Saccharomyces cerevisiae S288C: one gene and its partners. The protein of the gene in region 1 interacts with the protein of each later gene in a biochemical or structural test. Each region holds a gene or a part of one and is shown in the gene's direction. Other genes may lie near its edges.

Region 1 (7,502 bases):
TTTTTGTTTATTGTTTTATGCGATAATTTATATCCCTCTTTCCACTATGAACTAAATAGGGGCAAAATAATTTGTTTTTTTCTTTCTCTTTTGCCTTATTTCAAAAAACACAACCGGTAAAATTAACAGTTTAAAATTAGATAATAACTCTATTCAACCTGAACTCACTAAACTCTTACTAAATTACTGGTAAGGAAAGAAAACTAGGGGAAGACGAGTGAAAAAAGAGCAGTCCAACAGGTGTATTTCTAAGAAGAATAAAACACTTTTTGTAAATATCGTGTCCACTGGGGCAATTTAATTTACACTAAAACTAATTGGAGTATGTGTATATCAAAATCAATGAAAGTGCAGCGTCTGATTCACTAATTACCTCCTTTACTGTGAAACGGTGCGTCGAAAGGAACCTGTAACAAAAACCTGCTAAAAAGAATGCCGAACTAATGTAATCCGGAAAACTATTTCTACTACTATGTGTTAGTCGATTAAAATAGCCGAAAATCTTTCAAGCACGACAGAAAGATTCATTATCATTCTCCATTTCACAGGTATTCCATTTTCCGTTCATTTTTTCACTTTTTGATTTTATCCTTAAAACCCGCCCGGTTCATCACTTTGCACGCCACAGAAACCTCAGAATAAGCTAAAGGGTAATATAATAAAGCCCTTCGATTCAATAATAGCATTACCCAAGAGGCATAGCGGCAAACTAAGTTGACAACACAAAATCAAATCGCTTCATTTTTATTTTATTAATGATATTTTATTAGAGAGGAAATTATGTAATATCTAGATATTAAATATAAAGTAGATCTCTGTCTAAAATATTCTTAACAAAATCTTATATTCGAAAGGATGACGGTCCAATCAAAGGATTGTATAAGAGAAATTAGTTTTCGAAATCAATTTTTACTTGACCTGAACTTAACGATTTGCTCTCAATCCGCTTATTTGGATCTGGCTCTCACCTTCCGTCTCTTTCTCTTAAGTCTTCTAGTTCTCTTCTTTCTCCACTTAGCTCTCATTTGGAATTAAGTCGATATGACTATCTTAGGATTGAAGTAAAATATAAGATGAAAACAGAAAACAAGCGAAATTTCAAAGAGAGAAGTGAAACAATAATGACGGATAACAATTATTTAACATTCAGAAATATTACATTCGTTAACTCTCCATATATATAAATCACCCCAGCAGAGGAAGATGGGATTTCTGCCAGCAATGATGACGGGTAAATGGATAGCATCGCAGCTGCGACACCTTTTCCATGGTGCGACACGCGTCGTACAATGACCTAAAAATCCTAAAATAAAATAAGATGAATCTAATAAGGAAAGGTACTGGTGAAATGAGATAAGGGTGTACGGGTGTGGTAACCGTCGTGAAATAAAGAAAGCATTCTGAACGATGAATACTAAATAAGGGAAAGTGGAAATAAACGAAGTGTCGAAAGAGGAGAAGAGGTCTTGGCTTTCATATAGTGGAAGAAATTCTAAGCTACAACACAAAGTCTCCAACCACCTTTTGTTTAGTCAATTATAAAAATACTTTGATTGCTATTTCGAAACCGTGAGATTGCTGAGAAGGGAAAGTGAATGATATTTTTTTGCATTTTTTGAGGCGTTCTTTTTTTTTACACTGACAAATTTAATGGGGGATTCTAATTCCAGCCAAGAAGCGTATTCTGATACAACATCCACGAACGCTTCTAGAATCGCAGATCAAAATCAACTTAATTTAAACGTGGATCTTGAAAAAAATCAAACAGTAAGGAAGTCAGGTTCACTGGAAGCATTACAGAATGCAAAGATACATGTTCCCAAACACAGTGATGGTTCACCACTAGACTATCCAAAATTAAATACTTACACGTTTGTGCCTACCACAGTGCCGCCTTATGTTTTAGAGGCGCAGTTTGATAAATTAAGACTTCAGGATAAGGGCACCGTTGATGGAAATGTTACCGATGATAAAAATCTTCCAAAAGAGTTTAAATGGGGCCAGTTTGCATCTACCATCGGCTGTCATTCTGCATACACTAGAGACCAAAACTACAATCCTAGTCACAAATCCTACGATGGTTACTCTCTATCATCATCTACCTCATCAAAAAATGCGGCTCTTAGAGAAATTTTAGGTGACATGTGCAGCGAGTGGGGAGGTGAAGAACGACTAGAAGGTGTTCTACATTCAGAAATAGGTGCCAATTTAGAGTTCAACACGACAGAAGAGAGAAAAGAGTGGTTACAATATATCGAAAAGGTAAAAGATTTCTATTACGGTGATAATAAGAAGAACCCAGAATCACCCGAATCAGTACACAACAAAGTTTACAAGTCAGATTGGGTAAATGAGCTCAATAAAGAGAGAGAAAAGTGGCGGAGGTTAAAGCAAAGGAAGTTACAACAGTGGAGACCTCCTTTGACGTCGCTATTACTTGATAATCAATATTTGATTTTGGGTTTGAGGATTTTCACTGGTATATTATCGTGCATTTCACTTGCTCTGGCAATCAAGATTTTTCAAAACTCAAGATCAAATAACACCATCAGTGAAAGTAAAATCGGGCAACAACCAAGCACCATAATGGCCATCTGCGTCAACGCCGTGGCGATTGCGTATATTATTTACATTGCACACGATGAATTTGCTGGTAAACCTGTTGGTTTGAGGAATCCGTTAAGCAAACTGAAACTAATTTTGTTGGACTTACTTTTTATAATTTTTTCAAGCGCTAATCTAGCGCTGGCATTTAATACTCGTTTCGACAAAGAGTGGGTTTGCACTTCTATTCGCAGGTCAAATGGAAGCACGTATGGATACCCAAAAATACCGCGTATCTGCAGAAAACAGGAAGCTTTATCCGCTTTTCTGTTCGTTGCCTTGTTTATGTGGGTAATCACTTTCTCGATCAGTATTGTTAGAGTAGTCGAAAAAGTCAGTTCAATTACCAACAGAAACTGAGCTCGACAAATATAGAAATTAAAAGAATTCTTTTAGATACCAAGATTGACATTTATATGCATTGTATATTTTTGACTTAAAAAATTACTCCGGCTTGGCATTTATTCATTAACGGCGGGTTTGATTATATTAGGCTTTGTGCGATATAATATGTATTACCCGAAGGGAGGGCTATTGCACTTTCTTTTCCTTTCCGTTTTAAGGGCCCTTTTTCATTTCGATGTTTGATGGACACACATGAAGTGAAATGTGGCAAATAGAACATCTAGAAAAACTAGGGCATTAGGTAAAGTACCCCAGCAGAACTTCACTTTACAACGCAATTGATTCATATCACTGCTCTTTTATATTGTCCTTTTTCTCTTTTAGAGCTTTTCATCCGCATCTTCTAACTTCTGTGCACCCCTTTCATTGTTGATTACATTTTACCTCAGTTACACATTTCTTTTAGCAATTCGACATTGCTTCTACTTACCGATAAATAAGCGTACATTTTTGAGTCTTGAAAGGATTCTTACATATACCTAAACAAAGAATAACAACAAAATCGCAAGCAGCAAAGCATGTCTGAGACTCTGCCTAGATCTGATGATTTAGAGGCCACTTGGAACTTTATAGAGCCAGGAATTAACCAAATACTGGGTAATGAGAAAAACCAAGCATCCACGTCTAAGCGAGTTTACAAAATTCTTTCTCCAACCATGTATATGGAAGTCTATACCGCAATTTATAACTACTGTGTGAACAAATCACGCTCGTCTGGACATTTTAGTACTGACAGTAGAACTGGCCAATCAACAATTTTGGTTGGCAGTGAGATTTACGAAAAGTTAAAGAATTATTTGAAGAATTACATTTTAAATTTTAAGCAGTCTAATTCAGAGACCTTTTTGCAGTTTTACGTCAAGCGCTGGAAAAGGTTTACAATAGGTGCCATTTTTTTAAACCATGCATTCGATTATATGAATAGATATTGGGTTCAAAAGGAAAGAAGTGACGGCAAAAGGCATATTTTTGATGTAAACACCTTGTGCTTGATGACATGGAAAGAAGTCATGTTTGATCCGAGTAAAGATGTTTTAATAAACGAATTATTAGACCAGGTAACCTTGGGAAGGGAGGGGCAAATAATTCAAAGAAGTAATATTAGCACTGCCATAAAGTCTTTAGTTGCACTAGGTATCGATCCACAGGATTTGAAAAAGTTGAACCTAAATGTCTACATCCAAGTTTTCGAAAAGCCATTTTTAAAGAAGACTCAGGAGTACTACACGCAATATACAAACGATTATTTAGAGAAACACTCGGTAACTGAGTATATTTTTGAAGCACATGAAATCATCAAACGTGAGGAAAAAGCAATGACAATATATTGGGATGATCATACAAAAAAACCACTATCCATGGCATTAAACAAGGTCTTGATCACAGACCATATTGAAAAGTTGGAAAATGAGTTTGTTGTCCTTCTGGATGCCAGAGATATTGAAAAAATTACTTCTTTGTACGCACTAATACGCAGAGACTTTACATTAATCCCAAGAATGGCTTCAGTGTTTGAAAATTATGTTAAAAAGACAGGTGAGAATGAAATTTCGAGTCTACTGGCAATGCATAAACACAATATTATGAAAAACGAAAACGCAAACCCTAAAAAACTAGCACTAATGACAGCTCACTCCCTTTCTCCTAAAGACTATATCAAGAAATTACTGGAAGTACACGATATATTCTCTAAGATTTTTAATGAAAGTTTCCCCGACGACATACCTTTAGCTAAAGCTCTAGATAATGCGTGTGGTGCTTTCATCAACATCAACGAGTTCGCATTACCTGCTGGATCTCCAAAAAGTGCCACCTCGAAGACTTCCGAGATGCTAGCTAAGTACAGTGATATACTATTAAAGAAGGCCACCAAACCTGAAGTGGCAAGTGACATGTCAGATGAAGATATTATAACAATATTCAAATATTTGACCGACAAAGATGCGTTCGAAACTCATTATAGAAGACTTTTCGCCAAGCGTTTAATTCATGGCACTTCAACATCAGCAGAAGACGAAGAAAATATTATTCAAAGGCTGCAAGCGGCAAATAGTATGGAATATACAGGCAAGATAACTAAAATGTTTCAAGATATTAGACTTTCCAAGATCTTGGAAGACGATTTTGCTGTCGCCCTGAAGAATGAACCAGATTACTCTAAAGCAAAATATCCAGATCTACAACCATTTGTATTGGCAGAAAATATGTGGCCATTTTCATACCAAGAAGTTGAATTTAAGCTACCCAAGGAATTGGTACCATCTCACGAAAAATTGAAGGAGTCATACAGCCAAAAGCATAATGGTAGAATATTGAAGTGGCTATGGCCATTATGTCGTGGCGAATTGAAGGCAGATATTGGAAAACCCGGCAGGATGCCGTTCAACTTTACGGTAACACTGTTTCAAATGGCAATTTTGCTACTATATAACGATGCTGATGTATTAACCTTAGAAAATATTCAAGAGGGCACGAGCTTAACCATTCAGCACATCGCAGCGGCAATGGTACCATTCATCAAATTCAAACTGATTCAACAGGTCCCACCAGGGCTAGATGCTCTCGTGAAACCTGAAACACAATTCAAGCTATCACGTCCTTATAAGGCGCTTAAGACCAATATTAATTTCGCTAGCGGAGTCAAAAACGACATTCTGCAATCGCTATCCGGTGGAGGCCACGATAATCACGGTAATAAGTTAGGAAACAAACGCTTGACGGAAGACGAAAGAATAGAAAAAGAATTGAATACAGAAAGGCAGATTTTCTTGGAAGCTTGTATTGTGAGAATAATGAAAGCGAAAAGAAATCTGCCACATACAACATTGGTCAACGAATGCATTGCGCAATCACACCAAAGGTTCAATGCAAAGGTTTCTATGGTCAAGAGAGCCATCGATAGCTTAATACAAAAGGGATACCTACAGAGGGGAGACGATGGTGAATCGTATGCTTACCTTGCTTAATCATCTTTGAAGGCTTGTGCTGATCGAACGAAGCAAATCCTACGAGTAAATACATAAGCGTATACATATATATATATATATATATATATATATATATATGTATATATATATATGTGTGTGTGTGTAATTGTGTGTATTCAACTGAACTATGAAGAGTCTTTGACCTCTTGAGAATCTCATAGTATGAAGATATGGCACTTCTCTTTCCGTTGTAACATCCTTTACCGGGCGGCTTTTCGGCCTGCTTGAGAAGAGATCAGGCTGAAATGATGAGACTGACAACAAGGATCAGTCAGTGGCAGAGTTGAAATTCCGCTGGAAATCGTCACCAGCAGCTACCAGCTCCAAGAAATCCGCGTAGAAATCACGTCGCGCAATGTGCGATAGTGGTGGAACAGCGAAAATTAGTCACTTTGCAAAGATGCCAAGCTGATCGTTCTCGTTGTGTGTGATTCTACGATATTGCGCATGAGTGGTGTTGAGCATGCGTTTGTTCGCATTTTCATGCAGTCTCTTATATACTAATATATATATGCAACAGATTTCAAAATTTATCTTTCTTCTTGTTGCGTTTAGGCCTTTATTTGCTACACATTTAAAAGTGCAACGACAACCCAAGTAATTGTATACTTTAACAAACCATGTCTGAAAATAACGAATTCCAGAGTGTCACCGAATCGACGACTGCTCCAACCACTAGTAACCCATATGGCCCAAATCCTGCGGATTATCTATCCAATGTTAAGAATTTCCAGTTGATTGATTCAACACTAAGAGAGGGTGAACAATTTGCCAACGCATTCTTCGATACTGAAAAAAAGATTGAAATTGCTAGAGCCTTGGATGATTTCGGTGTGGACTACATCGAGTTAACCTCTCCCGTAGCATCCGAACAATCAAGAAAGGACTGTGAAGCTATATGTAAACTAGGTTTAAAGGCCAAGATCCTTACACACATTCGTTGTCACATGGACGATGCCAGAGTCGCCGTAGAGACTGGTGTCGACGGTGTCGATGTTGTTATCGGCACCTCCAAATTTTTAAGACAATATTCCCACGGTAAGGATATGAACTACATCGCCAAGAGTGCTGTTGAAGTCATTGAATTTGTCAAATCCAAAGGTATTGAAATCAGATTTTCCTCTGAAGATTCCTTCAGAAGTGATCTCGTTGATCTTTTGAACATTTATAAAACCGTTGACAAGATCGGTGTAAATAGAGTCGGTATTGCCGACACAGTTGGATGTGCCAACCCAAGACAAGTATATGAACTGATCAGAACTTTGAAGAGTGTTGTCTCATGTGACATCGAATGCCATTTCCACAATGATACCGGTTGTGCCATTGCAAACGCCTACACTGCTTTGGAAGGTGGTGCCAGATTGATTGACGTCAGTGTACTGGGTATTGGTGAAAGAAACGGTATCACTCCTCTAGGTGGGCTCATGGCAAGAATGATTGTTGCCGCACCAGACTATGTCAGATCTAAATACAAGCTGCACAAGATCAGAGACATCGAAAACCTGG
Region 2 (3,903 bases), on another chromosome or scaffold:
AATAGATAGAATTTTAAGGAAAAAGTAATACTATCTGAAGTCTATAAAGAGCTTTTGAAAGCTGCTTCAGTAGTGCAAAAAAAGTGTATAGTAGCCTTTTCAAGATAACATAATGTAACTAGCGGTACCAAGGAAACTGTAAAAGAATAGAAAAACATGCGAAAAGGTCGTAAAAATGGTCATTAAAAGGCGGGAGGTAGATGGAGTTCTGGAGAGGATCATAAATATAATAAAGGAGTACCGATATTCAACTCCCGTATGGTAAAGTATCAGTCAAGCAAATCCGTTGCTTTCAATTAGGCTCTGCAAATCATCAAAAAATTTATCATTAACAACAGAGTCTAGTGTAGTTAAAGTTTCCTCTGAGCTATTTCCAAAACTTTCAAAAAACAATTTAACAGCTTCGATGTATTCAAAACCAAACATCTGAGAATAGTGATTGATGAAATTTTCAATAACCATAATGGTGTCCCTAATTTGCTTGCCGCAGGTTGAAGGGTAATGACTTTGATTTAAAGAATGTGGCTCAACGACGCCCGCATTAATAACATTGAAGAAAAATAAGCTCGTATCGATTTCTTCATGTTGGCTGATATATCGATGGATTTGATTGAACTCATCAAGGGAGAAAGGTGTAAACTGCGAATAGTAATGTTTTAATCTCTTTGCAAAATCTTTGATGGCAAGTTCATAAGGTTTGTCTAAGTAGTCTTCATTAAACGATTTATTGTGGATATTGTATTTGATAAAGCTTCTGTTAAAACATGACACCTGTAAGATTATGGGCACCAAATTGAAACTAGAAAGCTCATCTGTATTGAACGAACAAACCTCCTCAAATATAAATCTTCTTCTTTCGATGGTCGAATTTGTGGCGTCGAAGATTCCCACGTCACATTCATCGTTGTTGATTTCGTGAAACAACTTTTGCAAAGTGATCCTGGCATACGTTTCCTTTTTATCGTTATTTTTCGGATTAAATAAGTCTTCCGAAGATGTATTCGACAAAAGCAAAGGCTTTGAAATGGTAGCACAACTGATTTGCCTTCTTATCTTACCAGCATTAAAAACTTTACAGCGTAATGAATTAGTTAGCGGATTGTTCTTCAAACATTGAATTAAATGAGAAGAAATGGTAGACTTCCCAGTAGCTGGTAGCCCAATCAAAACAATCATAAACTTGTTAACTTTTCCATTTGTATACGTAGGGTCTGCATTGTCTCTTTTGTAATTCAGTGTAATGGGTAAGTGTAACGGGTCGTTAGAAATAAACCTTGGGACCTCTGTAGACAGCAGTGAACTTTTGTGATTATCGAAAAAAACAGAATCTTGACAATCTAAAGTGGCTCTGTCGAGAGATGCGCTTGAATAGCTGTTACCGGTGTTAAGTGAAAAAAGAGAATTCGAGGAATTATATTCGGAAGTCAAATATCCATCGTGAGAGTCTGAATCGGAAGAACCACCCATTTTCAAACTTCCAGCGGAAAAAACGCGTTCGTTATCCCTTTTCTTCCTTTTCCTTATATCTAAAATATTAAAAATCGCGTAAGGTAATTTGTTTCGAGGGCAGTGGAACTTGAAGCCAAATAAGAAGTATAAGTACTGGGCTCTCCTAGTATTTCCGGTTTAGTGTTACTCGTATATGAGCGTATCAGACTTTTTAACACCCTCTAAAAAAGCAAATAAGTTGGTTTGCTGTGGCACCAAAATAAGCGAAAACACCTTTGTTTAGAGCACGTCTTCTTTTATATAAGCCAATCTTCCACACGAAAAACCGAGTAATCCAATTTACTTTTTCTACTTTTTTTTCATTATCAATCGATTCAGATGCCCAGAGAAGAAAAAGAAAAAAAAGGAAAACAATTTCCGTTGCAGACTCATCTGTGCGCGATTTCTGTGAAAAGGTGGGGCACTTGTGCCTGGAATCTCGGAAATACGTCAATTAATTTTTGGTATATATTCCGATAAGCTATAGTTCGTATTTTTCCGTTCCGAGGGAGGTGTACGGGTGGACTACCACGTGCCTACTATACGCTATACGGTAGTTGAAAATGTATATAGTTACACAAATGATTTATAATAGTGTGGTCATTGGGACGACGATGGAGGAGATTGTGATCCGGTTCTTAAGGTGTCCTGTATGCTGGTGAGTTTGTCGTGTACCTGTTTGCATACTTGCTCGATCTCGCGAATTTCCCCGCGCTTGTATTCTAATTGTTCTTCCAATAGCATAATAAGGGACTCTCGGGACTGATGGGGTCTGTACTCATTAAGTAGGTGGTGAATATTGACAAGAATGGTCCTTATGTTCTCCACTTTGCGCTCATACATATCCGGATTTATGCTCAATACGCCGATGAGTTCCAAGTAATTTAGCAGGAGGGATTTCAATAGTTTGCGTAGCTCTTGGATTTTGTATTGATAATTTGTGCTTTCGTTTTCTGTGGATTTCTTATAAAGTTGGGTGAGTCCCATGCTCTCTAAATCGGGCAGTTGGTCCTTCACCTGCCATATACTCCCAAACGCTCGGTACTGCTGATTTTTGGGCATGGGGGGTGGGATTAGGTAATCTAGCGCACATGTAATCTCCTCTTCACTGCCGCCGTTACTGTTATTTGGAGCCGTCTGCTTCGCACTTGCGGCCTTCTTTTCTTTGTATTTTGGTAATTTTTCCAGATTGGACTGTGTGAAAAACTTCACGTATGGGGGTGGAGGTGGGTACAAGGAGCTAACCTCATTACCAGGATCATTGGACATTTTTAGTTTGTGAATTTTTTTTTTACTAGCTTAAATTTGGGATATGAAACCTCTTTTATGTCATATTTGCACGTCTAATGACCTGCCTGCTGAAAATGCAAGATTCGTTGTTTAAGTTCTAACTAACATTTCGTATTTCGTGATAATAGTTTCTTTTAAAGGTGTGAAGAGGGAGATCATGAAACCCACAATAGACGTATGGGCTTCAATATGTGCAATGTTGGTTGCTACTAAATGTCTTTCTCCAGTGGCAGAGAACTTTAAAGAGAAATAGTTCAACATGAGCAACGAAGTTGACAGGATGGATGTTGATGAAGATGAATCGCAAAATATTGCGCAAAGCTCAAACCAAAGTGCGCCAGTGGAAACCAAAAAGAAGAGATTTGAAATTAAGAAATGGACCGCAGTGGCGTTTTGGTCATGGGATATAGCTGTTGACAACTGTGCTATTTGCAGGAACCATATAATGGAACCATGCATTGAATGCCAGCCAAAGGCCATGACGGACACTGATAATGAATGTGTAGCAGCCTGGGGTGTCTGTAATCACGCTTTCCATTTGCACTGTATTAATAAATGGATCAAGACAAGAGACGCATGCCCATTAGATAACCAACCTTGGCAGTTAGCAAGATGCGGTAGGTGAAAAAATGAATTGCCCGTAAACATTTAAATCATACCGAGGTAGAAGGATTATGGCATGTTCCTTTTTTTTTAGAGTATGTCAACTGGCGCAGTAGATACATGTTTTTCTCTTCCACGTCGAATTTTGTTATATACATAGCATAATCGAGTTGTATGCACCCTTTTTGTTTATCTCGTTAGTAACTCGGGGTAGGAATAAGACATCCACAAAGGTGACAGAACAAAATCATCCTAGCCTTGTTCATAATCTACCTCTATATAGCCGCTAAAAAATTAGTAGTATTTTGACTCTTTAAGAGCACATTTATTATCAGGCTGCTTTTACATACTTCTTTTGTTTAAAACATTTAAAGACGATCACTGCCCTTCCAAAGGACAAATATATATACACAAACACTAGGCCAAAAGTTCACTTATAATAATTTAGTGGTAATTATGTTGGGTAAAGAAATTGCCAATAGTCTTTTTTTTCCGTATTGTAAGGTGAGACTGAGGTAGCGG
Region 3 (4,288 bases), 900 kb from region 1:
GATAACCTCGTAAATAGTACGCACAGTGTCTTCCAGAGCATTGAATCTACGAACTAGTCTGGAGCCATCACCGGTACGAATTTGAATTCTTGTAGTGATCCCTGGTTTATTTGGCGGTTCTGGATGCACCCTGGCTTCAATGGTACTGAATGGATCCGGTTCTTGTACTCGTTTCTGTTCTTCGCCAGTACTCGGCACTTCTTCTTGGTTTGATTTGCTCGAGTTATTATTTAATGACTCTTTAATGGCTAATTCCATTTGTTGCTCTTCGGTCAAAGTTGTTGGATCCACTTTAGGAAGAGGTTCATTAACCGTGGGATTAGGGACCTTTGGATCTAGCGAAAATGAGGCCAAAAACTCGTTGATTTCTGAGATGAATTGCTCTGGAATGGGAACAACCCTATTCCATTGCTTGACACGTTCACCGGTAATTGGATCCAGTATCGCGATATGGGGCAAATCATCCTTATTATTCAAGTGATAGAACTGAAGATAGGGTTGGGCATTACGTGATTCATATTGATACTGTAGGAAAACGAAGTTCTCTTTGATTATAGTTTTTACCGGTCTGGACGACCACAAATCCCTGTTGAGGGCTTGGCATTGGAAGATTCCTGAATCCTGAATGTTAATCATTATCCATTTTTGCTTTGCCCTTGCCTTTTGCTTTGCAGCGTCTAAGTCGAGTTTGGACATGATTGAAAATGGAGGCCTAAATAACAAAGCTAATTTCTGCTCCTTGGAAATGGTTTTAGGCTTTCTCACTAATTTGGTGTACTCCTTGATATTGCCGTCTTCATCAAGTTCGATGACCGGCTCTTCCACATACTCATATTCGTCGTCGTCATTTTCTTCCTCGGAGTCCAAGGAATCTGAAGAGTTGTCATTGATGTATGTATTAGTATTTGTGTCATCCAATCGTTGATTAAAAATGCTTTCAGGTCTTCCTTCGTCAAACATGTCGTTCACCCTATGCAATGGTTCAAATCTTCCGCCAATGCCGCCGTAAGAAATTGGGAATCCTGAAGTTTCAGTAAGTACTTCATGTCTTGCCTCATCAGGTGGCCTGACATAATCTTGGTCAGGCTGTTGTTGTTGGTAAGCTTCCCTTTGCAACCTCTCCGCTAATTGTGCATCGGCATCTGAATCTACAGAGGTGGGCGCCATAGGAGTCGAATTAGACGGAGTAGGTGTGTTGTTACTGCTCAGTAAAGCAGCCCCACCATTTTCGAAAAACAATGATATGGCTGTGTTCAAGTTCCCGTCTGCCATTTCGATGAATTGAGTGGCAATAGCAGCGTCATCAGCGCCAGTGATGGCCATAAATTCGTCTACTTTTCCCTCTGACATATAAAAGGTATGTTATTATTGCCACACGTCGTAGTCTATGCGTTTGTAGTGACACTATTGAGCGATCATAGCTAAGATGTCGTTAACAAGTAGTAGAGTTTGCGTGAATGTATGAATATTTCCCTTTTTCCTTAAAAATTCCTTGCATTTTGGTAATCGTGTGTAATGATAAGGGCGTTATTCGACTTATATGAGCATGGGGTATATTATTGAGGTAGTTAATACTAGTCATCGTAAAAGCAGAAGCACGAAACAAGGAGGCAAACCACTAAAAGGATGGCCCCAAATCAAAGATCACGTTCGCTTCTGCAGAGACATCGAGGAAAGGTACTCATTTCATTGACTGGAATAGCTGCTTTATTTACCACAGGGTCGGTGGTAGTGTTTTTCGTGAAGAGATGGTTGTATAAACAGCAGTTACGGATTACTGAGCAACACTTCATCAAAGAACAGATCAAAAGAAGGTTCGAGCAGACACAGGAAGACTCGTTGTACACAATATACGAGCTACTTCCTGTATGGAGAATGGTTTTGAATGAAAACGATTTGAATTTGGACAGCATCGTTACCCAATTAAAGGACCAAAAGAACCAGTTGACTAGAGCAAAGTCTAGTGAAAGCAGAGAAAGTTCGCCGTTAAAAAGTAAAGCTGAGTTGTGGAACGAGTTAGAACTAAAGAGTTTGATCAAGCTGGTGACAGTGACGTACACAGTATCGTCGCTGATTCTTTTAACAAGACTGCAACTAAATATCCTGACAAGAAACGAGTACCTGGACTCCGCAATAAAATTAACCATGCAGCAGGAAAACTGCAACAAACTACAGAATAGGTTCTATAACTGGGTTACATCGTGGTGGAGCGATCCGGAGGACAAAGCGGATGATGCAATGGTAATGGCAGCAAAAAAGTCAAAGAAAGAAGGCCAGGAAGTGTATATTAATGAGCAAGCTTTCCTATCACTATCATGGTGGATTCTTAACAAGGGGTGGTTGAGTTACAATGAAATAATTACAAATCAAATCGAAATTGAATTTGACGGCATACACCCAAGAGATACTCTAACGTTAGAAGAATTTAGTTCTCGTCTCACGAACATATTCCGGAACACGAATTCCCAAATATTCCAGCAAAATAATAATAACCTCACGTCTATTTTGCTTCCTAAAGATTCCAGTGGACAGGAGTTTCTTCTGTCACAGACGCTTGACGCGGATGCTTTAACAAGTTTTCACTCTAACACACTAGTTTTTAATCAATTGGTGAATGAACTGACCCAATGTATCGAAAGCACAGCAACATCCATAGTGTTAGAGTCTCTAATAAATGAATCATTCCATTTCATAATGAACAAGGTCGGCATAAAGACAATAGCCAAGAAAAAACCTGGCCAAGAAGATCAGCAACAGTATCAAATGGCAGTTTTCGCTATGTCGATGAAAGACTGTTGCCAAGAAATGCTTCAAACAACTGCCGGGTCTTCCCATAGCGGCAGCGTGAACGAATACCTGGCCACTCTGGATTCTGTGCAGCCGCTCGATGATCTGAGCGCCAGCGTATACAGCAACTTTGGCGTCTCCAGCTCGTTTTCCTTCAAGCCTTAATCTCTGAATAAGTACTGACACTCACACCAGAATATATATATATATAGCGTAATCTTTAATACAGTAAGTGTGCAATAGGTAACATGACATTACCCTGCAGCGATTTAACGGGCGTCTTGGAGAAAAGAAGAGAAAGGGAAGAAATAGGTTGATATATTGAGGGCAGAGAAAGTGATAGCCCAACGTTGGCAAAGATATAACAGAAAAGACGTTATAAACAATACAGGAATACTAACAAACGTAGCGCAGATATGGTGACTTCTAATGTTGTCCTAGTGAGTGGTGAGGGTGAACGATTCACCGTAGACAAGAAAATCGCGGAGAGATCCCTGCTATTGAAAAACTATCTGAACGATATGCATGACAGCAACCTACAAAACAACTCAGATTCAGAATCAGATTCAGACTCGGAAACGAACCACAAAAGCAAAGACAACAATAACGGTGACGACGACGATGAGGATGACGACGAGATTGTGATGCCCGTGCCCAATGTTCGGTCTTCCGTTTTGCAGAAGGTTATCGAATGGGCCGAGCACCACAGAGACTCTAACTTCCCTGACGAAGATGACGACGATTCCAGAAAGAGTGCTCCCGTGGACTCATGGGACAGAGAATTCCTGAAAGTGGACCAAGAGATGCTATACGAAATTATTCTGGCGGCAAACTACCTCAACATCAAGCCCTTGCTTGACGCTGGCTGCAAGGTGGTTGCTGAAATGATCAGGGGAAGGTCTCCCGAGGAAATTAGAAGAACGTTTAATATCGTCAACGACTTCACTCCAGAGGAGGAGGCTGCCATTAGGCGTGAAAATGAATGGGCTGAAGACCGTTAGCCTACATTTCCTCTGATGACTGTGATCCTTTCTTCCGATGATAATGCGCCATTTCAGAGCAAGATAGGCAAAAATAAGCAAACAAGGCTTGCTGTCATGCAATGTGTACGTTAGTCCACCATAACCAAGCATGTATGAATTATATATGTATACAGTTTACATAAACTTCAAACTACAATAAGATGTGTGGTCCATCGTCGTGTGTAGCGATAGGCGTCTTCTAAAAGCCGCAAAAGTGACAAGAAGAAAAAAGGAAAATTATTGAGTTATAAAAGCTATTGTTTACATGATGAGACGGGATAAATTTAGGACAGATAGCTGTAAACACTCCGTTTTGAATCATATTTGTGAAATATTTGGTCTAAATTTTAAGTCAAGTTTATTTTCTTCGAGCATTTCAACACCAGCTTAACCCTTTGCTTTAAATTATTCATCTAAAATAGGGTATATTGATTGCTAATCACATATAAATATATAGAAGCAGCAGCTGTACAGATATC

What was found.
Region 2: the proteins of CDC53 (region 1) and HRT1 form a complex in vitro, tested with the Saccharomyces cerevisiae proteins (5 studies listed by BioGRID, with this or other methods).
Region 3: the proteins of CDC53 (region 1) and SKP1 form a complex in vitro, tested with the Saccharomyces cerevisiae proteins (4 studies listed by BioGRID).

The regions. Positions count from the first base shown.
Region 1 is NC_001136.10:220,777-228,278, forward strand, and holds CDC53 (cullin CDC53), read left to right. Parts: upstream 1-3,527; coding exon 3,528-5,975; downstream 5,976-7,502. Other genes in the region: 60S ribosomal protein eL41 RPL41B, read right to left, coding at 948-1,025; SRF1 (phospholipase D regulator), read left to right, coding at 1,651-2,964; homocitrate synthase LYS21, read left to right, coding at 6,617-7,502. UniProt on the Saccharomyces cerevisiae protein: Core component of multiple cullin-RING-based SCF (SKP1-CUL1-F-box) E3 ubiquitin-protein ligase complexes which mediate the ubiquitination and subsequent proteasomal degradation of target proteins.
Region 2 is NC_001147.6:67,288-71,190, forward strand, and holds HRT1 (SCF ubiquitin ligase complex subunit HRT1), read left to right. Parts: upstream 1-3,037; coding exon 3,038-3,403; downstream 3,404-3,903. Other genes in the region: PFK27 (6-phosphofructo-2-kinase), read right to left, coding at 274-1,467; mediator complex subunit MED7, read right to left, coding at 2,089-2,757. UniProt on the Saccharomyces cerevisiae protein: Core component of multiple cullin-RING-based E3 ubiquitin-protein ligase complexes (CRLs), which mediate the ubiquitination of target proteins.
Region 3 is NC_001136.10:1,124,934-1,129,221, reverse strand, and holds SKP1 (SCF ubiquitin ligase subunit SKP1), read left to right. Parts: upstream 1-3,203; coding exon 3,204-3,788; downstream 3,789-4,288. Other genes in the region: DNA protein crosslink repair co-factor UBX5, read right to left, coding at 1-1,350; PEX3 (Pex3p), read left to right, coding at 1,627-2,952.